Linked DNA regions of Mus musculus. The protein of the gene in region 1 interacts with the protein of each later gene in a biochemical or structural test. Links are inferred from orthologs where the notes say so. Each region holds a gene or a part of one and is shown in the gene's direction. Other genes may lie near its edges. The genes, in order: Lnx1, Pbk, Abca1, Kcna4, Shtn1, Rasl11b and Numb.

What was found.
Region 2: of the proteins of Lnx1 (region 1) and Pbk, one has a biochemical effect on the other in vitro, tested with the Homo sapiens proteins (2 studies listed by BioGRID and IntAct, with this or other methods). The link is inferred for Mus musculus from reciprocal best matches to the Homo sapiens genes LNX1 and PBK.
Region 3: of the proteins of Lnx1 (region 1) and Abca1, one has a biochemical effect on the other in vitro, tested with the Homo sapiens proteins (2 studies listed by BioGRID and IntAct, with this or other methods). The link is inferred for Mus musculus from reciprocal best matches to the Homo sapiens genes LNX1 and ABCA1.
Region 4: of the proteins of Lnx1 (region 1) and Kcna4, one has a biochemical effect on the other in vitro, tested with the Homo sapiens proteins (2 studies listed by BioGRID and IntAct, with this or other methods). The link is inferred for Mus musculus from reciprocal best matches to the Homo sapiens genes LNX1 and KCNA4.
Region 5: the proteins of Lnx1 (region 1) and Shtn1 form a complex in vitro, tested with the Homo sapiens proteins (2 studies listed by BioGRID). The link is inferred for Mus musculus from reciprocal best matches to the Homo sapiens genes LNX1 and SHTN1.
Region 6: the proteins of Lnx1 (region 1) and Rasl11b form a complex in vitro, tested with the Homo sapiens proteins (2 studies listed by BioGRID and IntAct, with this or other methods). The link is inferred for Mus musculus from reciprocal best matches to the Homo sapiens genes LNX1 and RASL11B.
Region 7: of the proteins of Lnx1 (region 1) and Numb, one has a biochemical effect on the other in vitro, tested with the Homo sapiens proteins (2 studies listed by BioGRID, with this or other methods). The link is inferred for Mus musculus from reciprocal best matches to the Homo sapiens genes LNX1 and NUMB.

What each region holds. Positions count from the first base shown.
Region 1 is NC_000071.6:74,622,904-74,626,403, reverse strand, and holds part of Lnx1 (E3 ubiquitin-protein ligase LNX), read left to right. Parts: intron 1-2,719; coding exon 2,720-2,922; intron 2,923-3,500.
Region 2 is NC_000080.6:65,812,411-65,815,910, forward strand, and holds part of Pbk (lymphokine-activated killer T-cell-originated protein kinase), read left to right. Parts: intron 1-555; coding exon 556-698; intron 699-1,396; coding exon 1,397-1,566; intron 1,567-2,761; coding exon 2,762-2,891; intron 2,892-3,500. UniProt on the Homo sapiens protein: Phosphorylates MAP kinase p38. Seems to be active only in mitosis. May also play a role in the activation of lymphoid cells.
Region 3 is NC_000070.6:53,079,896-53,083,395, reverse strand, and holds part of Abca1 (phospholipid-transporting ATPase ABCA1), read left to right. Parts: intron 1-1,252; coding exon 1,253-1,474; intron 1,475-2,425; coding exon 2,426-2,630; intron 2,631-3,500. UniProt on the Homo sapiens protein: Catalyzes the translocation of specific phospholipids from the cytoplasmic to the extracellular/lumenal leaflet of membrane coupled to the hydrolysis of ATP.
Region 4 is NC_000068.7:107,293,589-107,296,296, forward strand, and holds part of Kcna4 (potassium voltage-gated channel subfamily A member 4), read left to right. Parts: intron 1-555; 5' UTR 556-1,334; coding exon 1,335-2,708. UniProt on the Homo sapiens protein: Voltage-gated potassium channel that mediates transmembrane potassium transport in excitable membranes. Forms tetrameric potassium-selective channels through which potassium ions pass in accordance with their electrochemical gradient.
Region 5 is NC_000085.6:59,020,570-59,024,069, reverse strand, and holds part of Shtn1 (shootin-1), read left to right. Parts: intron 1-1,747; coding exon 1,748-1,894; intron 1,895-3,500. UniProt on the Homo sapiens protein: Involved in the generation of internal asymmetric signals required for neuronal polarization and neurite outgrowth.
Region 6 is NC_000071.6:74,194,074-74,198,125, forward strand, and holds the start of Rasl11b (ras-like protein family member 11B), read left to right. Parts: upstream 1-1,252; 5' UTR 1,253-1,378; coding exon 1,379-1,517; intron 1,518-2,029; coding exon 2,030-2,086; intron 2,087-3,193; coding exon 3,194-3,270; intron 3,271-4,035; coding exon 4,036-4,052.
Region 7 is NC_000078.6:83,839,544-83,843,554, reverse strand, and holds the start of Numb (protein numb homolog), read left to right. Parts: upstream 1-1,211; coding exon 1,212-1,337; intron 1,338-1,631; exon of another isoform or gene 1,632-1,701; intron 1,702-4,011. UniProt on the Homo sapiens protein: Regulates clathrin-mediated receptor endocytosis. Plays a role in the process of neurogenesis.

The sequences.
Region 1 (3,500 bases):
TGCTCTAAGTGTTCTATGTGCTCAGACACCCCATGACCACGGCACATTTCCAGGTCACTGGTATCTCACTGGTGTGGCTCTCAAGATGCTCCACTGTCGACCTATTTTTCAGGAGCATATACCAAGACACACAGAAGTCACTCAACTTGTTCCAAATGACGACAGTATTGACCTTTGGGGCCACAAGAGAAAGCTGTCATATCTTAGTGTGCATATATGGTACATGTTTCCCAATATAAGTGGATCTGAAAAGACATTCTGTTCATTTCATATTGAAGCCTTTAGGTTAAATCAACATTTGTTTTCTGAGACAGGCCCTCACGTTGTAGCCTTGGCTAGCCTTAGAACTTACTGTGTAGATCAGGCTGACCTCAAACTTGCCGTGATCCTCCTACGTTTGCCTCTTAAGAGTAGTGGGCGTGCAAGTGTGCAGCAATCTGGTTCGTATGAAACTCTATAGTAAAACAATAACATGGAAAGTCACAACAGCTCTTCACGTACCAGCAAATGCTCTAAAGAGTCGTGTGTGTGTCAAAAGAATGAGAAGTGATAAAGACTGTGTGGTGGCACACGCCTTTAATCCCTGCACTCGGGAGGCAGAGGCAGGTGGATTTCTGAGTTCGAGGCTGGCCTGGTCTACAAAGTGAGTTCCAGGACAGCCAGGGCTATATAGAGAAACCCTGTCTCAAAAAAAAAAAAAAAAAAAAAAAAAAAAAAAAAAGACTGTCAATCCTAGTTCACAGCTAAGGAGAGTGATCCAGAGAGGTTAGGCAAGTAGTCCAAAGTCACACACACAAAACCACACACACACACACACACACACACACACACTGAGAGAGAGAGAGAGAGTGTGTGTGTGTGCAAGCATAGGATTTTAACTTGATGCTTCTGGCTCTTTTAACACCTTCCAAAACTGTCTTTGGGGTTGAAGGTTAAAGTCCCAGGTGTTTTATTTACTGTGCTTTGGAAAATTCATGCACAGCATCTGAGACTCCTGGCTTGGCTCTGCCGCTCCCACCACCACCACCACCACCACTTGCTCACCATGCTCTTTCCTCACGTGCCTGTGTGGCTTCGAATGCCTCCCAGCTACTGGCCAACCTGCATCCTCCATCTCCTTCCCACTGCCAATCTAACTCTTCACTCAGAAACAGGGATTAGAATCCACATGTGTCAGTCAGTGAGGACTGAAGACAAGAGTCCCAATGTCCTAGTTCAATGTACAGAGAATATTCTTAAATCCTACAATCTCTAGACAAAAAATTTTGATCGAATTCTTTCAGGTCCTGTCTAGGACAATTTTGGCAGTTTAAAAACGTTTTTAACCCTTCAAAGCCACAAGGATCTCATTGGTCTGGCTCTAAGGGACATCATTTAAGAGTGTGAGGCTGGGCATGAATGTCTCTTCCTCTGCATCCTAAGTGTCTGAGCTACACAAAAGGAGCCACTTCCCAGTTAGCCTAGGCGTGACTTGTTCTCAGCAGTTGGTGTCCCCTCTAAATACTTCTGTTCCAACTGAACTAGAAAACAGTGCCAGTCAGTGCTTCTGCCAGTTAGTTCTTGATCTCTAGGGCCTGTCCCTGTGGATTTTGACCTGGCTGTGAACATATGATTCCTGGGGAACTATTGAGGCCATAAATGTGCTAACCCTCAGAAGCCTGGTATTCCTCACCGACTCTGAGGCCATATTACTCCACAGCTTCCTTTCTGCACACACACACACATTCATAAAGGACTGTCTGTCACTGTGTAGCCTCAGAGTGACCTAGACAGCTACTCTGTGTCTGCCACAGCCACAAGGAGGGAGCTAAGACGTGACTCCTGGAGAAAGCTGACTCAGGTCAAATACTAAGGTTAGGCAACAGTGGCTCACTCAATCTTTGATCTTCTCTTTAGCACTGAGGTCAGTGATCCAGGTAGATGAGGAACACGTCTTAAGGAGACGGCTGTAAGACCATGACCTTGGCCTCTCCGTGCCTGTCAACCAGGTCTTTTGACTGCTGTGATTGACAGCAGTATCTGCCAGAGGGCTGATGACTACTGGGGCCTGAAAAGCAGAGTCTCAGATCTTCCTAAATGACCTCAGCAGAGGACAGAAGAGCAGATTCTATTTTTGTTCCTGGATAAGAAAGTAATGAAATCACAGTTCACTCCCTGAAGACATCAGTTCATTAGTTCGTTCCTATTCAAGCAGTAAGCATCAGCCGGAGGCTCCAGTGTGTAGAGAGATCTGTGCACAAAACCATGGGACAGCCAGAAAGTGCCGCCTCCACAATGTAATCAGAGTAGTTTAAACATTAATTGAAACAGTCTGTCAAATTAACATCGGGAACAGCCAGGTTAAGACAGCTACATGAGCCTGATAGCAAAGCCAGTTGCCAGATTATGGAGTCCAGATCGTGATATGAGAGATGGACACAGACAGCAGTAATGGAAGGCTGGATGCCATGAGAACAGTCTATAGGAATCGTGTGTTTAGTGACAATGAGGAAAAGAGAGATTGGGATAGAGTTGAATTGGAATTATTTTGTGCATGCCTTGAAGGAAATTCTGGGTTTCAGCCCAGGATGAAAAACATTCCAGTAGAGAATGCTGGCACCAAGGCAGGAAAGTGGTGCCACACACAGGGAACTGTCAACAGTTTAGCTTGGCATTCAGAGTGGCTGGAGATGCCCGTGGAGTAGATGTCTGAAACAAATACTGTTTCTGTCCATTTCAGTCTTCCCAAGGTTGTTTCACCTGATTCCAGATGGTGAAATTACAAGCATCAAAATCAACAGAGCGGATCCCAGCGAAAGCCTCTCCATAAGGCTGGTGGGGGGCAGCGAGACGCCGCTGGTCCACATCATCATCCAGCATATTTATCGCGATGGAGTGATTGCCAGAGATGGACGGCTGCTGCCAGGAGACATCATTCTCAAGGTGCCCATGAGGCGTGAGCTTGTAACCATAGGCTACAAGATTGTGAGCTGTAGGCTGTGCGTGGCACATAATTTAAGTCCTTAAAGGTTGGATGGGTAGGTGGGAAGAGCGATGGATGACTGGCGAGAAGATGGGTGGATAAGTGGGTGCATAGATGAATAAATAAAATCCTTCAGAGCCAATTGTAGTAGATGGGCAAATGGATGTTTAGATGGATGAGTGGACTGGTGGGTGGATGAATGGATGCGTAGCCGGGCAGATAAGTGGATGGGTAGATGACAAACAGGATAAATAGAATGAAATGAAGATAGATACTTTCTTTCCACAGTTACATTGATGTAAATCTCCTATGAAGAGTTCTAGTATAACACTTCTGGATCTTTCACTCTTCCCCCATCTCTCTATTTATAATCACTTCTCTTTGTATCATTGTATCTCTCTTCTCTCTGTTACTGTATCCCTTTCTGTCTTCTCTGCCTTTTTCCCTTCGACTTTGTTTCGGTGGTCCCTCTTTTCTTTCTCCAATTCTTACTTTTCTTCTCTTCCTCTTCTTGATCCTTCTGTGGCCTTCCTTTTAA
Region 2 (3,500 bases), on another chromosome or scaffold:
GGCTACCCATGCTCCAGTAGGAAGTCCTATACCCATGCACTAAGTGGACTCAGCGGGCTTCAAAAATAAAGAACACATGAGGTTAGTGGTGGTGGAATAGAAGAGGACCTGGAGGGGAGGGAGTGGAAAGTAGATTTGATCAAAACGTATGTATGAAAGAATAGTTTATATAGAAACTGCCTTTAAGTTTCTTTAATATTAATCATAGCATGCCATAACTCATCTCTGATGCATATAGATACATGTTAATTAAGTAGTAGGCTGACATGCCAGGGTAGAAATGTTAGAAAACAGTGTAGTTGTTCTGAGGTTTAATTGTATTTTGATAAGTTCCTAATCCCCCATACTTATTTGTGTCCTTTGATCCCTTCTCAGAGTGTAGACATCAGGTGCTTTTCAGGGCATCTGGTTAAATCTTGACACAGAAATGTAACAGGTGTTGATGACCTAAAGAATTTTATATACTTTAAAAAACCTATTTCTATGGAGCAAAATTTGAGTGTTGGTGTTTTTTTATTCATTTTATATCTTTAAGTTTACATATGTATATTTTAGATCTCCAAGAGGGTTGTCTCATTCTCCTTGGGCCGTGAAAAAGATAAGTCTTTTATGCGATGATCATTATCGAACTGTGTATCAGAAGAGACTAACTGATGAAGCTAAGATTTTAAAAAACCTTAATCACCCAAACATTATAGGTAAGTCTGCATATACTTTGTGGCAGTATGTGGTAGAGCAATGTTCTGTGTAGCTACTGGTTTTGCTAATAACGTTGGGTCCACATATTGTTGGGACTTGAGTTAATGTAAGTTGTCTAAGGTAAAAATTCATATAAGGGCCTGGAGAGATGGATTATCAGGTAAGAGGACCTGCCATGCTTGCAGAGGACTCAGGTTCAGTTCTTGGCACCCACATGGTGACTTACAACTATCCACAGGGGATATAGTATCTTGGCTTCCACTGGCAACAGGCTTGCATGCGGTGTACATACAGGCAAAATACTCATAAAATAAATAAAAAATATTTAAAATTCACATATTCTACATCTTTAAGCATATGTATTTAACCTTCATGGAGTTGAGTTGGAAGTATTTGTTTTGGTGCTGGTCCTGTGAAGATTTCAGGAATGTAGAATGGTCCTGGTGTAGACCAGTCATGTTCATTTAGATGATGGGTTCTTGCACTATTTTCACTTTGCATTTTTGGTACTCATGGGGCTGGTGGAATCCTTCTGTTTACAGAAGCATAATAAAAGTGTTTTGATCTGTGCTACTAGACACACCTGAAGGCATTTGAATTATTTGGGCTTTGTACATAGTAGCTGCTTCATTGTGCTAGTCCAGATCCGTGTTATATTAATGGAGAGTTTAATAGAAAAATGCCATGTTTTCTTAAGGATATCGTGCTTTTACTGAAGCCAGTGATGGTAGTCTGTGCCTTGCTATGGAGTATGGAGGTGAAAAGTCTCTGAATGACTTAATAGAAGAGCGGAACAAAGACAGTGGAAGTCCTTTTCCAGCAGCTGTAATTCTCAGAGTTGCTTTGCACATGGCCAGAGGGCTAAAGGTAACTGTGTCACTGTATTTTAAACAGCTTGGGTGAACTATGAAGAAATTAAACATGTGTTGTACCTATGTTGCTGTGGTTTTAGATAGAAGATAAGGGAAGAAATATATACATAACTGAGGTGGTGGTGGCACACGCCTTTAATCCCAGCACGCAGGATGCAGAGGCAAGGCGGCTCTTTGAGGGCAGGGCTACAGAGAAACTCTGTCTCAGAACCCCCGCCCCCCAAATTATGTTAACTAAACACTGGTAATAGTGACGTTAGAGAACTACTCACAGTGTAATGATAGTGATGTTAGGATTACATGTTAAGGTTTCATAGGAAATTGATTTATGGAGCAGATTGTAGTACATTTTTAGATAGGATAGAGCTGGGCATGGTGGTACACACCTTTAATTTCCAGCAGAGGCAGGCAGATCTGAGTTCAAGGCCAGCATGGTCTACATAGTGAGTTCCAGAACAGCCAAAGGATAGAAACATCTGAATTACTTACTAATGACTTTAAGTATGTATATATAATGAAGTGAATAAATTACAGCGTAACCATATTGGGCCTCCTTACCACATGATAGGCAGCATTGAAATAAGCATAAGCTCTTGTGTAAGAGCAGATCACAGAAAGAATGGCCTCTCATTTCAAAGTTAGGCTCAAATGCTGATAGGTGAACAGATAGCTATTGTGCAGCACTGTTCAAAATGTGACTAATTATTTGCAACCCCAAAAGAAGTTAATGTATAAAACATAATATAGCTTTGGATTACAGTTTTGCTTCTGCTTGTGAATTATGGTGGCTCCATGTCTCCTGCTTTTCTTGTATTACATCAAAGTTGAGCTATTGACCTCAAGTAAAATTGGGAGTGTTGGGAAATCTTCTGGATTGAAATTTTTATGGGCTTTGAGAATTCAAACATCCTGAAAATTTTTAGATGACATGGCAGGTCATCTAAATGGACAATTACGTCTAGTTTACAAAGGGAATTCAAATCATTGTATTTTTTTTTTTGGTGTTATTTTGGTTTTTTGAATCAGGGTTTCTCTGTGTAGCCCTGGCTGTCCTGGAACTTCTCTGTAGACCAGGCTGGCCTTGAACTCAGAAATCCGCCTGCCTCTGCCTGGCTTCAAGTCATTGTTTTATTGAAGGAGTTTTTATTAATTTTTCTGTTCATGTATTTGATTGCTTTTTCCAATTTTAGTACCTGCACCAAGAAAAGAAGCTGCTTCATGGAGACATAAAGTCTTCAAATGTTGTAATTAAAGGTGATTTTGAAACAATTAAAATCTGTGATGTAGGAGTCTCTCTGCCATTGGATGAAAATATGACTGGTAAGTAGGATTGTTTTAAATTTATACAATTTTGCATTGTAAAACATAATAAACCTTCATGGTTTAAATGAACTATTTTTGGAAACTAATAGTGTCTTTTCATTGTTTTGCCTCCTGAGTCCTCAGCTCCTTCCCTTGCCACATGGTCAATTATTGACTTCTTGGTAGTGTGTATATTTTTTGTCTTTGACTTGTTTTAAATATGTCAGTTGGGCTCACAGGCCTCCCAGTCTTCAGCCTGTGCCCGCACTGGCCCTTATTAGCATGGATTTTAACTGAATAACTTTGGGCAAGACACACCCAATAGGCTAGAGCTTCCCCAGCTTCTAGGCATTCTTATCTAATCACGTTAATCAGGATCCACTATTGCATCTTCCCTTTCCCCTTCAAATGTTTCTTCTCTACTTGTAATTTCATTGAAAGCCTCAAAATAGAATTTTGAAGATAAACTTTGATTAAATAAACTGCTAGTTTTTCTCCCTTATTGTTTGGAAGTGAGTATAAGCATTTTGTTTTGGTTCTATCCTTATTTGTGTAAAATGGAGATTATAGTAATGAAATACAGAAAAACTAATACACTTTAAAAACTGTCCAGTGCATTTGATTTAT
Region 3 (3,500 bases), on another chromosome or scaffold:
TTTGGAATATGGATATTTATTAGGGATTAGTATGATGGGTGGAGCGCTGGGTCATGCAGAGGGAGAAGTTGAGCCATGATTCAACAGCCCAGTGGGATGTTCTGGAGAACATACAGCTTGTCCAAGAATTTCCCTCATAGTCACTGGACGGGGGCTCATGGGACTCACCAGGGAAAGGGTGTTCCAGGGCCTGTTGGCTCTCCTAGCTATGACAACAGAGGTCCTAACATCTGGATGTCTTTTACCTATAGTCAAGTAAGCCCCCCTCTTCCCCTGCTTGCCTTAAAGTTGAGTCTGGGCAGTGAGGTTTTTGCCTCATACACAAATCTGCTCTTAAGCGTTTTTGCTTCAATAGTTACTTCATACAAAGATGCATCTTATAAAAGTTAGTGTTTTCTAAGAAAGCAAGAGAGCAAAGCAGGAGAATCTAACATTTGTCCTAATAGCAGCTACTATATATTACATATGAGCGCTCACTGATGCCAGGCACCGGTCAGAGGACATGCTGTGAACTCCGTCAGCGGAGCCTTCCTACAATAACCCATTGAGTGCTCAGGGAAAGTCAGAGCCTCACTAAAATACCCAGGGACGGCAGAATCAAGATTTATTGGCATGTTGTTCTGAAACAAACTCTTTTCTCATGCTCTGGTATCCGAGGGCAAGGACCTAAGCCTTGTGACAAGGGTAGGGATCCTGTGGCCAGTGTGTGGGAACGGACTAAGTCAGCCGGGTGTTGACAGGGCCTGGTTCAGTGTCCACAGTGACTACCGATGAGCTCAGAGCTCAGAACTTGGGATGAGAGGATGAATCCACAGAACTTGGGATGAATGAAGACTCTGTGTTTACCAGGGGAAAGTTCAGGTTGCCTGGCCTTTTTCCTAGGCTTTTGGAGAGAAAGGATGCGTAGGCTGTTGTCTCACACGACTTTTTTCTTAGAGGCAATAGTTGTCCTTAGACAAGGAGAAGCCAAATTCCTTGCTCTCTGTGAGAGACGGAGAACAAAATTATCCACTAAGATCAAGTCGAAAGTCCTGGACTTTGTCCTTAACCATAATTCTGCCGTGATTTTTCATGCATAGTCTCTCCAGTAAGTTATTTCACATGGGCTTCATGTCCTCATCAGAAAGTCAAGCACAAGGGTTTCCCTGCGTTAGCTCTGAAAGAATTATATGTCAAAACCAGCATTAAGATCACGTATGTGAGCCGCCGGGCTTGCCAAGGCTACACGTTTATCCAGACTCTTCCTCTCCAGTTAGGAAACCTGCTGCCCTATAGTGACCCCAGCGTGGTGTTCGTCTTCCTGTCTGTGTTTGCCATGGTGACCATCCTACAGTGCTTCCTCATTAGCACGCTCTTCTCCCGTGCCAACCTGGCAGCAGCCTGTGGGGGCATCATCTACTTCACGCTGTACCTGCCCTATGTGCTGTGCGTAGCCTGGCAGGACTATGTGGGCTTCTCCATCAAGATCTTTGCTGTAAGTAACTCTGATCTCTCTGCAGAGGTTGTAGTCCTGGTGCCCCTCCACCTCCCCAGGGTGTTGGATAATCCTGTCTCCCCTCTGGCTAAGTTGTTTCTCCTTTGCCCCTAGAGTAAATACTAGGTTGGATTTGGTTTTTGTCAGAGATCATCAGATTGTGCCTTGAACTGGTTGGAGATAAATGACATTCAGAAATGGATCTAGTTTAGGCAGTAGGTACCATGTCCACCCCTTAACTTCTAGCTCTTTGGCCATAAAAGCTCACAGCAAGGTCATGTCCATGGACAGCTTGAGACCACAAATGGTTCATTCTTGTCCCTTGTCTTTCTTTTATCCATTGTGTTGTTTGACTTGGGAAATATTTTCCAGACTGAAAAAAACCAAACATGACTTACCCTCCCACAAATCCCTGACCAGGACATTTTAGTCTTTTGTGAAATGTAGGTGTGTAGTCTTTAAGCAAGTGAGAATACCAATAAAGGCCACTCACTATCTGCCCTGCTGGGTCACTGATAACGATATTAGGCTCTCAGGATGCTCCAAGTGCTGAAAGCTTGAGTCTCCTAGATATGATGCCTTAAAGCGGCTTCTCTGATCCTGAATATTCAATGACTGATCAGTGAAAAAAGTCCTTGATGAATGTCAGCTGGACGGGGGGAACAGGATCGTTGAGCCTTGTAATGTCTTGGGAAGCATACAGTTCTAAGGTCTCACCTGCTCTCGTGCATACATTTCTGAAACGTGTCTGCATAATGAGTGCTTATAAATGAAATCATTTTCTATGCTGCAAGTGAGTCCGCTTCTCCAAAGGGACTCTAGGAGAATATTTACGTGCCTTATAATTGATGTAATTTGCAAAGTCAAACTTCTCAAGGTGGAATTTACATCAGAAGAGAAAAATGAGAGAGGCAAGGATGTAGACCAGTTCCTTTTGCCTCTTTCTCTCAGAGCCTGCTGTCTCCTGTGGCTTTTGGATTCGGCTGTGAGTATTTCGCCCTTTTCGAGGAGCAAGGTATCGGGGTCCAATGGGACAATCTCTTTGAGAGCCCGGTGGAGGAGGACGGCTTCAATCTCACCACTGCAGTGTCCATGATGCTCTTTGACACCTTTCTCTATGGCGTGATGACATGGTACATCGAAGCCGTCTTTCCAGGTACCCCAGGCTTCCATACTGCTTTGGCTGACTGAGGGGCAGAGCAACTTTCGGCCTGTAGGTTCTTCCTTTCTTTGTGTTGCAGTTGCTGAAGGACGAGGGAGCGCCCTGGGAATTGGCTTGGGCTTTTAGCTTATGAAAAACAAATAGTCTAAGGAAAGGCACTTGTGTTGAAAGCATGCATGTTACTGGCATTGTGCTACACATCTCTTGAGCCCAGTGTGCCAGGTGCTGAGCAAAGTACTTTATACAGACTCTGGTTCGGAAGGTTACTCTGGGCTGTTTGCTAAGGTAAACAGTTTCTAAAAGAGAGAGCTAACTGAGAGTTTGAGGGACTTGCCTAAGGTCATGGGTCTGTTAAGTGTCAGTGCTTGGAGATGACCTCAGCTGGGCTATACTGGGTCAGAGTCTGGCAGGTTCCTCTCAGTACTGACTGGGTTCTTAGGACTATGTCTCCAGAAGAGGAAGCCCTAGGAGACCATCTGTCTCTTAACTACAGGTTATAAGTAATATAATATATTGGGTCTTAGCCCTTGCCTATTGCTTAAGGGAAATTAGTATTCACCAAAAATTAATTTTGATGCTTTCTTACCCTTCTTTGCCAAGTACAACAGAACAGGAACCCTCTTTAGGATACATTTCTGTCTGAGATCAGATTTTAGGGGAGGACTCATTTTCACCCTCTGAATCTCCTCCAAGGAAACCCATTTGAAATGTTTTTTAAACCCGTATCTGAACTTCCTCCATTGACCATGCAATTTGCATGTATATTCTGAGATTCAAACTCTTGAGTCCTTATTTTTTGGGGTAAGTGACCTTGGATAGGGCTACTTGTCCTTCAGTTTGCTCATCTCTAAAATGAGGTTGCTG
Region 4 (2,708 bases), on another chromosome or scaffold:
TTGTCTACATTTTATGATTAGGAAATTGATGATCATTCAAGTAGTGGAGTCTAAACTGAAGAAAAATGTTTTATTTCCCCACTTCTTTAATCCCAAGAAAAAGAAAAATGTAAGGGTACTTAATTCAGCAACATTCCATGAGTGAAAATTTTAAGGAGAATTCCTTGAGATAAATGAATACTGGAAACAGCTGTAAAGTCAGAGCATCACTGTTGTGGAATGAAGAGGATACTATTGAGAATTAAACCTGGCATTGGTGAAGGGGCAGAGGAAAGCAAGAACCGTGTGGGTTGAGAATGGACAGGACCTAAACAAATGAGTTGCCACCAAACAGACTGATCTGAACCAATGACAAAAGAAGAGAGCAAGGTGGATGCTGAGTGGGAGAGATTTTAGAGCAGCCTGCCCCGTATTCTTGAAAAGTTATGGTCTCCTGGTGTGTGTTTCATGATTTGCCTGAGGACAAGAGCAGTGTATGTGGAGTAAAGGGCTGTTTGCTCTCTATGGTTTGATTCTTTTTTTTTTCCCCTGTGCTTATTTCCCATCCCTCTTCAGGTGAAGTGCTTCTTGTGAATGATTCTAGCCAAAGGATGCTCTTCATTTCCTGCTTTCTATGGAGACCTCAGTGTTGAGTTTGCCTCTGCTGGAACTGCGTCTACCACCTTCTCTACCTTCCAAGGTCTTTGCCTCTATCTACAACCTGGCATTGTCTGTGGGTCCATGAAGGCTTGGATGACCTTAGAGGGAAGGTCTGGGAGTCCACCCTCATAGACTAAGCAGCAATGGCTGGGCATATTTTAAGCCGCATTTTAACATGGGTCAAGCCATCAGTAGAAGGCAAGTGCTAAGACTAAAGACTTATTTGAATTTTATTTAAATTAGATGGACTGGGCCTTGGCCAATTTCCATGCAAGAAAAAGTATATTTCATTTTCTAGGCACAACTTCTGAGTGTCAGATACTTGCTGTCTTTGAGTCTTGTGGCGTCATCACCGGACAGCATCCCAGACAGACTTCCAGATTTGAACATCTACCCCCCAACACGTAGGTGTATGGGAGACCACATCATTTCATGACTTATGTTTGAGGAACACTAGGCTGTTGTCTAGACGAGGCAAGCTCTGGAAAGCAACGCCGAGTCTCTGAGAAGAGGGAGCATAGGCTGTGCTGATTTAAAAACAGAAAATGCAAAGTTGGACTGAAAATATCCCACGTCTTCTAAGCAATCTGCTTAAGGCTTCCAAACTTACCTTAATTTGGTAAGAAAATAAGCTGCCCTATTTTTCTTTCTTCTTCTCTTACAACTGGAAGCAGCCATTTCCCCAAACCACCACCATGGAAGTGGCGATGGTGAGTGCCGAGAGCTCAGGGTGCAACAGCCATATGCCTTATGGTTATGCAGCCCAGGCCAGGGCCCGAGAGCGGGAGAGACTCGCTCACTCCAGGGCAGCTGCAGCTGCTGCTGTCGCAGCTGCCACGGCTGCTGTCGAAGGCACTGGGGGTTCTGGTGGAGGCCCCCACCACCATCATCAGACACGTGGGGCCTACTCCTCCCATGATCCTCAAGGTAGCCGTGGAAGTAGAAGGAGGAGGCGTCAGCGAACTGAGAAGAAGAAACTCCACCACAGGCAGAGCAGTTTTCCTCATTGCTCAGACCTGATGCCCAGTGGCTCTGAAGAGAAGATCCTGAGGGAGCTAAGCGAGGAAGAGGAAGACGAGGAGGAGGAAGAGGAGGAGGAGGAGGAGGGAAGGTTTTACTATAGTGAAGAAGACCATGGGGATGGGTGTTCGTACACAGACCTGCTGCCACAGGATGATGGGGGTGGTGGCGGCTACAGTTCAGTCCGCTATAGTGACTGCTGTGAACGTGTGGTGATAAATGTGTCTGGTCTACGCTTCGAAACCCAAATGAAAACTTTGGCCCAGTTTCCAGAAACTCTGTTGGGAGACCCTGAGAAGAGGACTCAGTACTTCGACCCTTTGCGCAATGAGTATTTTTTTGATCGGAACCGACCCAGCTTTGATGCCATTTTGTATTATTACCAGTCAGGAGGCCGCCTGAAGAGACCAGTCAATGTCCCCTTTGATATCTTCACCGAGGAGGTGAAGTTCTATCAGTTGGGAGAGGAAGCCCTGCTCAAGTTCCGGGAGGATGAGGGCTTTGTGAGAGAAGAGGAGGACAGGGCTCTGCCAGAAAATGAATTTAAAAAACAGATTTGGCTTCTCTTTGAATATCCAGAGAGTTCTAGCCCTGCCAGGGGTATAGCCATTGTGTCTGTCCTGGTCATCTTAATCTCTATTGTCATATTTTGCCTGGAAACCTTGCCGGAGTTCAGGGATGATAGGGACCTTATTATGGCCCTCAGTGCAGGCGGGCACAGCAGATTGCTGAATGACACCTCGGCACCCCACCTGGAGAACTCAGGGCACACAATATTCAATGACCCTTTCTTCATCGTGGAGACAGTGTGTATTGTGTGGTTTTCCTTTGAGTTTGTGGTTCGATGCTTTGCTTGTCCCAGCCAAGCACTCTTCTTCAAAAACATCATGAACATCATTGATATCGTCTCCATTTTGCCTTACTTCATCACTCTGGGCACTGACCTGGCCCAACAGCAGGGGGGTGGCAATGGCCAGCAGCAGCAGGCCATGTCCTTTGCCATCCTTAGGATCATTCGTCTGGTCCGAGTATTCCGGATCTTCAAGCTC
Region 5 (3,500 bases), on another chromosome or scaffold:
TGGCCATGTGGCTGTCTCTGTGCCTTTAACTCTTCCAAAGAGGAGGTGATGCTGAAGGAGTATGGATTCCATGTACTATGCAGATTGTGTTTCACCAGGCTGGAGAGGTGGCTCAGCAGTTAAGAGCACTTTCTACTCTTCCAGAGGACTTGAGTTCAGTTTCCAGAACCCACATCAGGTGTCTCAAAACAATCGGTGTGACTTTAACCCCAAGGAACTATGTTCCCCCTTTTCACCCTGTGCAGATACCCTTGTAGACATATACATGCACACACAGAGACACACTTGCACACATAAATAATAAAAGTAGATCTTTTAAAACTGTGTGTTCTACCTGTTCTGAGCTGGTGCATATCTGAATTTTGCACAGCACTATAGCTGCTTCCTAGGCTTCTCTGCACAGAAAAAGAATAAAAGCCCAGTCAGTCATTGTGTGTGTGCAGGGGCGGAGGTACATCTGTGTGCAGCTTATACATGTTTGGAGGCCACAGGTCAACACTGGGTATGTTTCCACCTTGGTTTTTGAGACAGGGTCTCTCATTGAACCTGGAACTCACTGATTGGCTGGACTGAGGGGCCACCAACCTTAACCCCCTTCTAGCCATTTTTTTTCTCCTTCTGGGACATTGGAAAGAAAACATGAATGTGTTTGTATTATACAATTTGTTGTGAGTTTGATTGACCAGGACTAAGCTTGCAGACTGTGTAAATCACTATAGTTCTAGTCTTTTCACACAGAGGTTTGTAGAAATTTTATTTGGTCCTGAGTTACATTTGCTGACATTCATGTTATACAGCAGATGAGGTTGCATGTGTGCTCTATGTTGAGCCATCTTACTGTGCACACCTTACATACAGTTAAGCTACAGTGTCAATATAAGATGCAGTAAGATCCTGACAGTGTAACTCTTTGCTGGTCTGAGACTTCTAGTCTGTGAAATAGATCATGCTTTGAATTGTCCACCATCCCACTTGGTGTGACAATGGAGAAAATAAATAACAGACAAATAGAAAATAATGCTGCCGTCAATTTTGTCAGCGTGAGAGAATTAGCAAGTCCTGTTCATAAGCAACTCGATAAAATGTTCAATAGATGTTAATATTGTCTCCTCTTCTTGGAACGCCTCTTGTGAACTGTTTCATCACTGGGGGAAACTAACCAGTCTAAAACAGTCTAATAAAGAGCAGAGGGGGTGAGTCGGGTGGTCAAGAGGCTTGGCTTGCAAATGAGCCTAAGCTCTGTCCTTGATACCTGAGCATCCTTGGGGATCCTTGTTCTCGCTGAGCCTTGGCTTCCTTATCAGGACAATGTGATGGTCATGTATCTATTACCATGTATTAGCAGTGTTAACTGGATACAGGGTGACATCTGCCATGTTGCACAGTGGTTAGTGAAGGTTTCCTAGCCATAGTAGAGAAGTCGGCGAAAGTAAAGCATAAAGAGAACCCCCCCCCTGGGTGGGGGGCACAGACATGTCACTTGTAGTATTGATGTATTTTAAGCCAGTAGGAGAGCATTTAAAATCAAGGTGTATAGCTGGATTGCTGTATCCACACCTTGCTTGGGGTAATGACTTTGGTCTTGAAGTTCATGGGAAGTTGGGGACTGCATTGTGGCTGCTCAGGAGCTCCTACCTCAGGCATTTCCTTCAGTGTCCTCAAGAGCTCCACCCACTGCCATTCAATCTGCACAGGGGAGCTGCATGGTTGGGGTTGGTATATACATTTTTGTAATTGACTTTCACAGATGTTCATTGAACAAAACAAACTGAAGAGACAAAGCCACCTTCTGCTGCAGAGCTCCCTTCCTGACCAGCAGCTTTTGAAAGCTTTAGACGAAAACGCAAAACTTATCCAGCAGCTTGAAGAAGAGAGGATCCAGCATCAGAAAAAGGTAACTGTTTTTATTCTGCAGCTGTAGACACACACACACATGTACATACACATGCATGCATATACATGTGTGTATACAGCATACATGCACACACATGTACACACAGGCACATACACCCACTTGTATGCACACACCACACATAACCACAGCATTCATACCCACACCATACTACACACACCACATATACACATACATACACATGCATGAATACTCACATGTGTACACAACATACATGCACACACATGTACACACAGGCACACCCCCCACATGTATGCACATACCACACATACTTACACCATACATACCCACACCACACTACACATACCACATATACACATGCAGACACATGCATGTATACACACATGTCTGCACAACATATATGCACACACATGTACACACAGGCACACATACCCACATGCATGCACACACCACACATACCCATGCCTCACTACATATACCACACACATGTACATACACATGCATGTATGCATATATGTGCACACACCATACATGTATGCACATGTACACACAGGCACACCCCCCACATGCATGCAAATACTACACATACCCACACCATACTTCACACACACACACACACACACACACACACAGTCTGCACAATCACACATTAAAACAATCACACATTAAAACTGTGGCCTTCTAGAGGTTCATATTTTGCCTTGCTTTTTAAGTCCTAAACATCTTTGAGAAAACAATAGTTACCAAGTAAATTTTGTGTACTGCTCAGCTAAAGTTTATAGCCTACTGACATGGAGTCTTTAAAATGAGTTTGAAAAAGCAAAAACAAGGATTGTAGCCTCAAGTCTCTTTGAAAATGGTATGGTTTGCAGAGATGACTGAATACACTTAGGAGAATGTATTGGTCTCACAGAGCTTGTTGAAGGGACATTGACCTTATTCTGAGAAGGAAGGAAAGGAAAACCTGTCAGTAGTCATTTCTCTCTTAGTTACAATTTCTAACCATGCAGACTTACATAGATATCTGTAGGGCTTCTTAGCTCTTTATTCAGTTTCCAGTTAATGCAGCCCAGGTCCCTCTGTGCCCTTGTGATAGGGGAGAGGAAAGGGAAGAGGTGGAAGAGAGACTCACAGGTGCCACCTCAGAGTGATGACATCAATATTTATAGGTCCTCACATCAGAGCAAAGGTCCCGACACATCTCCAGTTTTGTTACATCTTGCAGTAAGGTCAGGCTGGACTTCCGCTTCCTCTGTGGGAAGTGTTGGCAGGTTTCCAGAAAGCCTCTGCTCCCCAAGGCCAAAGATGAAGAATTTCTTTTTCTGCTTCCACATGTAGGAATCACCTTTCCAGAAAGAAAGAGTGTTTGAGTTTGTGTACATGTGTACATGCATGTGCACACATGTGCAGTGTACATGTATGTAGATGTGTACATGTATGTGCATGTGTGTTTAGCTTATGTTAAAATCTAACTTTTGGTCCTAAGAAGACAGATTATATTTGTTGTTAACTTGGCTAGTAGATAATACATGCTCAGAGCTCACTAAATTGAGCTGGACTCTAGGAATGAGTTGTTTTCTATGTTCTTGCCTGGCAAAGGAGCAGAGGTCATTGTGGGTGGAACTAT
Region 6 (4,052 bases), about 430 kb from region 1:
GTTGAGCCTGGAATCAGCTTCTTTTGCTTTTCTACCTTCAATAAAGGTGTACAAAATGCCACAGGCTTTGCTCTTAGGCACCAAGATAAAAGGCCCTGAGGGTTGTAAGGGCATGCTGGTGGCGATAGATAAAGTAGGTTGCTGAAGTTGGGATCTGGCCAGCAGTTGTCTGTGATTTTCTCTGATGAGGACACGGGGGTACTTGGTATTTTTATGAGTGCTAGACTCCTCATCTTCCTTGGCGACAAGCCACTTTTAACTAACCTTTATGACTAGGCTAACCGTGGGGCCCCTCTGCCTCCCGGTGAGTCCAATCCACAGCTGCACTGACTTCTTGTCTTACCTTTCACAGATCTGGGAGGAGGCGTGACTGGGCTAGCCATGCAAGCTTGTTCTAGTGACTTTTAGCCTGGCTTTGCCTCTCGGGGTGCGGTACTTGCTTTCCACGTTGTGTGCCTTCTCGTGGGCTTGCACTGTTGGCAAGAACTAGAACAAAATAGGTATTTTGCCCCAAAGACAAACGCCACATTTTGGGTCACGGAGGGGTGCCTTTGTTTAGGAATACAAGGATGGGGAAAATGTATAATCCAGGATAATACTTTGAATGTAGCCAAGTCAGTGCAAAGATGTCGAGCGCACGAGCAGAACATAGGGCAGGGCCAAACAGGGCAGTGACCTATGGGGCTCCCAGCAGGTTCCTTGGGGTCAGAGGTGGAGAAGCCAGTGGTCAGAGAGGTTAGGGGACCTGGGACCCAATTCAGAGAATGCCTAGGGACTGACCTACGGAGGCCCAGCGGCGAGGTTGGCAGACAAGGGTGGGTGCTTCTAAACCCACCGCGGATCTGAGATCCCGCGGACACGCCAGGTCTCCTATGAAGGCAAGGACAGATTCCCCCCACGTGGACCTGAGACCCAGCAGACACGGCCAGATCCCCCCACGCGGATCTGAGACCCCGTGACCCCGCAGGCACCGGTGCGGCCGCGTGCTAGCGCAGCGGGAGCCGGCTGGGTCCCGCACGTTGCCACCCTCGCGCCGGCCGCCCTGTTTTCCTCGGATCTCACGGGGCCCCGCACTCGCTCTCGGCTCCTGTGGGGGCGCAGCCTGGTAGTGCAGGCCGTGGGCGGGGCCTCGAGCGGGGCGCTCGGGGATTGGCTGCTGGAATGGAGGCGGGGCCTGGGCCAGAGAAAACCCGCGCCCCGGCGGCTGCCATCCCAGCCGCGATCCGGAACCCCCGAGCCTCTCTTCTCGTCGCGCTCTCCCGTTCTTTCCAGTTTCTGCCCGCGCGCCCTCCGACGGGGTACCCTCCTCTCCTTGCAGCGCGAGCCGTCTCCTGTCCTGACTTTCCTCCCCGCTCCGTGCAGCCGGGCCGTAGCGGCGATGCGCCTCATCCAGAACATGTGTACCATCGCAGAGTACCCCGCCCCAGGCAGCACCGCTGCCGACTGCTGCCTGGGGGCTGCGGGCCGCCGGCTCGTTAAGATCGCCGTGGTAGGGGCCAGCGGCGTGGGCAAGACCGGTGAGTCCATGCGAGGAACCCGCTTGGTGGAGGGGCGGGACGTGGGAGACCCCCGCTCGGACTGGAACTGAGAGACGGTGGGCGTTGCAGTGGGATCCTCTGCCTCTTCATGTCTCTGCTTTAACGAAGAGGGTCACTGGGGCCCAGAGCGTCCCGCCGACTTTCGGGCCAGAGTAGAACTTTGGGGCTTTGGGCTTTTGGCAGGATCTGGGGCGGAATGGGGGAGCTAGTGATTGTAACCCCTCCAGGAGTTCCGTAAGGTTAGGAAGAAGTTTGCCTGCTGGAAGGCTTAGGTGTGGCCCAGCTGGGCTCCGCGGAGGGGCTGGGCCTCAAGACCCTTCCTGCTGGCAGAGCTGTAATTCACTCCTACCTCCTTGTGTCTGGTAGAGGGTCAAGGAGCCCTCGGTGGCCGGCTGTGACTTTCTTTGGAAGAGTTGTTTTCCAGGTGGGGGTGGGGTGGAGAACCGTCTAACTTAGTGGGTTAACAGTCTGTTTTCTTTTCTGAATTGCAGCTTTGGTGGTCCGATTCCTCACTAAACGATTCATCGGGGACTACGAACGAAATGCAGGTGAGGAAACGTACGGAGACCAACCCTGTTGGGATGGCCGCCCTCATTTCTCAGTACCTTTAAGGACACTTCCTTCAGAGTGACAGTGTTTAGCATCAAGATTCTGCTACTTCCAATTCTGCACGCCCCCTCCCCCTCCCCCTTCCCCCTCCCCCCAGCTGCCATCTGGCCTCATTCCATTCTTGGCGCATTCATCATTTTATCAAGTGCCCGAAAGTATTCCCTGTGGTATGTTTTAACTATAGGGACCCCAGTTGGAAGCACCGTTTGTACTCCAAGGCCTTGTCCTTTAAAACATGCCTGCAAAAGTCATAAAAAAAAAAAATACCCAACCAAACAAAAAACCCAGCTGCAAGCTCCTCCCCCACCCTCTCCCTCTGCTGGCTGCCTTTCAGGGGCGACCTTTGAAAGCAAAGGCCAAAGAAGAGTTGTAAGCCTAAAGTTCTTTCCTTAACAAAGACAAATAAGTAGCTGCTATGATTCTAGCAGGGGGAGAGCAAATTGCTTAACTAAGTAGACTGTATGGTTAAATTAGTAGACTTGTATTAAGTACCAGTTGGGGATTTAGTTGAAATGAGCCATATAAGCTGTCCCAAGATAAGACCTGGTGGCCTTCTGCTTTGATATAGAGCTGATCAGAATCATGGCACATATTCATGCTAAGAGGGATGCTAACTGTGCATTTACTAACCGTGTTTGCTTATGAAGCTATTGTGGGCAAAATATAACTGTTCAGAGAATGATAATATAAAATAAAAACAGAAACCCTGCGTATACTGAGCCAGAAACTTTCCTCCGTGGAACTACTCTAAATATGGAAACTCAGTTAAAATTAGACCAGCAAGTTTCTAAAAACCCACAAACTTTGACCTACTTTTGATAAAATTTGATAATCTACTAGCAGGGGCTTAAGACTGCACGTGGCCTTTAAACAAGATCTGAATTAAGTGCATTAACTAGAAGTAAATCACATCTTTCTCTTGTGTGTATCGGTGCAAGTCGTGGTACATTAAAAACAAACAAACAAACAAACAAAAACCCAAACCATAATGTTTCCCGAGGCTGCACATGAAAGAGGAACACACTCTCCTTTCTCTGTCTTCATAGGTAATCTCTACACAAGACAAGTTCACATAGAAGGAGAAACGCTGGCTATTCAGGTCCAGGACACTCCGGGCATCCAGGTGAGACACTGATGCTGACAGGGCCAGAGCAGACACCGGCGGCTGAGGCACTGCTCACTTGTTTAAGTGTAAGGGACACGAGATGTGGGCAGTCAGGTCTAGACGGTACTTGTGGTTTGACAGTTAAATTGTACCTGACCGCAGGTCAGCCTTGGCCCGGTTCAGTTTGGGGAGCTGGGAGAAGAAGGGGAGCCCCTCTTGTAGGAGGGGAATCACCGGAGCAGGGGGAACCAAACCAGCCCTTAGAATTGGCAGTACTTCCTTCCTTTGGTTTTTATTTATGTGCCTTTGGCATCAAAACCCAAATATTCAGGCCCAGTCTCCAACACCCGGAATCACTTTTATGTTGTGGAAAGTTTCTCTGTAGACAAAAGAGCTCTGCTAGGATTTTTTCCCCCCTTCCCCGTCCTGAACTGGGCAGTTATCCAGGTTTAAATGCTTCCAGCTCCTATCTTCCCCAGACTTACTGTCTAGCCAGTTAATTTCCCATTTTGTGCAACTACAAAGTCGCTCTGCGTGGAGTTCTCTGCAGGTCCATTTTCCACTTGAGTGTGGTGAGCTGCCCTGTTATTTATTCCCTCCAAGCAGCTGGATCAACATATTGTTAAGAAAGCCCAAGTGTGTGGGGAATAGAACTTGTTTACAACCCGTAACCCGCCATCCATCGCTATGAAGGGTTCTTTTGAATTGAGGGATGTGCTGTGGCCAGAGCTCAGTGCCGTGCCCACTGCTAGCTGCTCACCTTGCTCTCCCTCTTCTCCTCAGGTGCACGAGAATGGCTT
Region 7 (4,011 bases), on another chromosome or scaffold:
CACAGTGACCCTGAGAATTAACAGTTACTACCATATCTGACAGACATATAAACTAAGGATTAGAACTTTCCGTTTACTTGCATCAGTCACATCACCATCTCTGGCAGCACAGCATTCACTCAGGTCTGTCTCATTGTAAAGCTTACAGGGTGCCCCAGTTACTACATAAGCTAGATTGTGACCCAAACCTCAGGCATGCATGGTTTATTAATCGTGAGTGTTGGTTGAACAGCATTCATTCAGTAAGTATATGTGAGCAACTCCTCTACTGATCAGTTCCAGGAAGGCAGGCATAAACAGGGAACAGGACAGTATCCTGTCCTTGCAGACTTTACCTCACTGGGAATAGGTAGGTAATGTAAACAAAGACATGTTTTAGTTTGAGACAGTAATTAAGCAAAGGTACCACAAAGAAAAATCAGGGATTTGGGGGAGGTGGCTTTGCCTTTGGGTTCCATCCCCACCAGGTTCCATGAGGAGTGAGCAGAGAGGAAGAGAGAAAAGTGACAGGAAAGGCTCCAAGACACAGAGTGCTTGCCTGCCTGGGATGTGCGGGGCTGTAGTTTTAATCGCTTGCCCTACAGACTAGAAAAAGAGTGACTGTTCACCCAAGCACCATGAGCTCTCCTGGCTCTTACCTAATATCCATCAAATCAGGAAGACTTGAATCTTTCTTTTGTCTACCAGTAGTAATAAAGATAGCTACAAATGAAGGGGGTGGGGAAGAGTCTGAGAATGAATGAATCATGGGACAAAGGGCATGGAGTGAATTAGATATTAAAGAGGTAACATTGGTAGATAAGGCCACAGGAAGAAAGAATGGGGAGTTGGGCATGTAACTAACTCAGTTGGCAAAATGTGTGCCTGGCAGGCACAAAATATTAGTTCAGTCCTTAGCACCAAACTGAGGCACAGTAGGGCATGGCTGTAATCCCGGCATTTGAGAGGTATCAAGCAGGTGAGAAGTTAAACGCCGCCCTTGTTGGGGCAGTTGTCATTGGAGGGGACTGTAGTTGTCTTTAAAAAGCGGACTGAGAGCAGTTTTAGACTCACTGTCACTCCGAGAGGAAGTATGCTAACATACTAAGCTATAACCCTCGTGTGGGCCCTCAGGGTTTGGGGTGGGTTTTGTACTAAAATGGTCATCTGAAGTTTGTGTAAGAAGTAACTTTGGTATTTCTTCACTGTGTCTTCAGGTTGTAAAAGTTAACATGAACAAACTACGGCAAAGCTTCAGGAGAAAGAAAGACGTTTATGTCCCAGAGGCCAGCCGTCCACATCAGTGGCAGACAGATGAAGAAGGAGTCCGCACTGGAAAGTGTAGCTTCCCAGTTAAGGTAAAACACACATTGTTGTGTCTGGCCAGTAGATCACAACCTGGGTTCTAGCCTGGAAAGGCATTTTGGAAACCTGGAAGAGAAGAGGGGCTGGGCTTCGGGAGATAAGGAAGGAACCCAGACAAAGCTCTCTGCTCAAGGTTCAATTTTTACTATTTCGGCACTCAGTTATAAAGGAAGGGGGAGGGGCCCAATTCCCGCCAAATAATCCAGTAGCAGGGTGATCACGTGATGCCTTCAGAACAGCAAAGCGGCAGGTTCCAGCAGTAGGCGTGGCAGAAAGATTGAGCGGGAAGCTCCACCCCTGAGCAAGCAGGTTTCAGGCTGGGGGAGGGGAGACTATAACACATATCTTTGTGGTTCTCTGTGGGGAAATAAACAAAAACATAAAAGCAAACCAAACAAAAAACTGATAGCCCATAGAATATGTAATCCTATGACTCACGCTAGTGAAGGAGCCTTCCAAAATCGTATTCTGCTTCAGTGATGGAATTAAATAAGAAAAAAATACATTGTGCAGTTAGTGATTTTTCTTTTTGTGTTTAAGTTATTTAAATAAGGCTGTGTGCTACATAATCTGGAACAAGTATAAGTGAGAACAGTTTGTGTGTGGGTTGGTGGGACTCCTAGGAGCTCACTATGGGCCTTGAGTGTGCTTGGCAAGCCCACTACCACTGGGCTACATCCCTGCCTTCTTTTTACTTCCTTGAGAAGGGATCTCACTAAGTTATCTAGGCTGTCCTTGAACTTACTCTGTAGCCCTTAGGTAGGCTTTGAACTTGTGATCGTCCTTCCTCAGCTCCTGAGTAAGTGAGGTTTCCCAGAAGCCTCCACTCTCAGGTCTGGCCAAGTAAGAACACTTCTAATGAGAACATAAGTCCTGAGACGTCTACAGATCCTCAGTTACCAAGAATTAAATCATTTTCAGTGAGGTAGGGGTTTATTTCCAGCACTCTCCAACAAAAGAAAAGTCAAAAGAAGCGCCTCTCCTCCCCACTCCCATTCAGGGCTAACTGGCTTGTTTGCTGCTTCTTCTATTTTTTTCTGAATATTTATTATTTATATGTAAGCACACTGTAGCTGTCTTCAGACACACTAGTAGAGGGGGTCAGATGTCATTACAGATGGTTGTGAGCCACCATGTGGTTGCTGAGATTTGAACTCAGGACCTTCGGAAGAACAGTCAGTGCTCTTAACTGCTGAGCCAGCTCTCCAGCCCTGTTTGCTTCTTCTTGTCTTCACTTTTAAACTCTTCCCACCATTAGTTCTGCTCTTGTCTTCTGTACTTATAATTTCTTGTTCCATCAATGCTAGATGATTATCTTGATGTTCCATCATAAAAAAAAGAAATACTTTCACTTATTTTCAAATTTATATCAGATATTTTTACTTCATTTTCTTTACATGTTTCACGTTTTATTTCATTTTCTTCACATATGTTTTCTTCACTAATGTTTACATTCTCTTCTATAAATAGTAATTATATCTCCTATATATTGAGCTTGTTCTAAAAGTTTTCATTATTAATTAGGCATTAAATTTAATGCCAATCTAAGGAATATCCTACAGTTTCTTCTCTTTGATATTATTGATTCATTGATATGTTTGACAGATAATTGCTGAATGTCTGCTGTCTACCAAGTATTGTTCTAGGAACCAGGAGTGCAGTGAGCAGCACAGACAGGATCTCTACCTAGTGTTGTTCATGGTAGTGTATGCGAGAGTGTGAGAAAACAATATCTGCTATACCAGAAAGGAATTGTGGATGAAAGAAATAAATGGGGTTGATACGGTTTAAAATATTTTGGTTATGGAAGTCCTCATTAGGGGGCAAAATGTCATTTCAGAAAACACCCAAAGAAATTCAGAAAATAAGCATTTCAGGTATTGAAGGAAACAGAATGTAGCCAAGGGAGCAACAGTGGAGTGGCTCTTCAGCAAGAGGCACCTGGCATAGTAAGGGGCACAGAGAAAACCACCTTGTATAGAACCAGAGGAGCAGGGAGCCATGAAAGCAGGTAGGTAGAAGGTAGATTCAGTAGTTCAGTACTTTCAAATAATATCACACCTACTAGCTGCATTTTTTGATACAATACTCTTTATAAATTCTAAATTACTATTTATATTCAATTATGTATATGAAGAAGTAAATTTTGCTAAAATTTGTATCTAGCATGTACAGTCTTCTCTCTTTTTTTTTAGATTTATTTATTATATTTATATGAGTACACTGTTGCTGGGATTTGAACTCAGGACCTCTGGAAGAGCAGTTAGTGCTCTTAACCGCTGAGCCATCTCTCCAGCCCCTCCCCCCTTTTTTTTAATCTTTTTTTTTTTAACAGTCTTCTCTTGATTGACTTAGTTATATTTGTGTGAAAGTCACTGCATGTGTGCATATTTAAAATAGAATTAGAGTCAGTAAAAGATACTCTGAGTAAGCTTTTTCTATATTACAAGTGCCCAATATTAGATGTGTCATATATTCATTCTTGGGCCCTTGCCTACTAGCTAGAAGTATTGTTCCTACAAATGATCTCATTACCGTCCTTAAACACTGAAAAATTATTTGCCTAGAACATTTTGGGGGTGGAAGTTGGGAGATACAGAGTCTTGCTACATAGATCAGGATAACCTCTACTAGCAAGCCCAATTCCATCTTAAGGATTTTGACTTT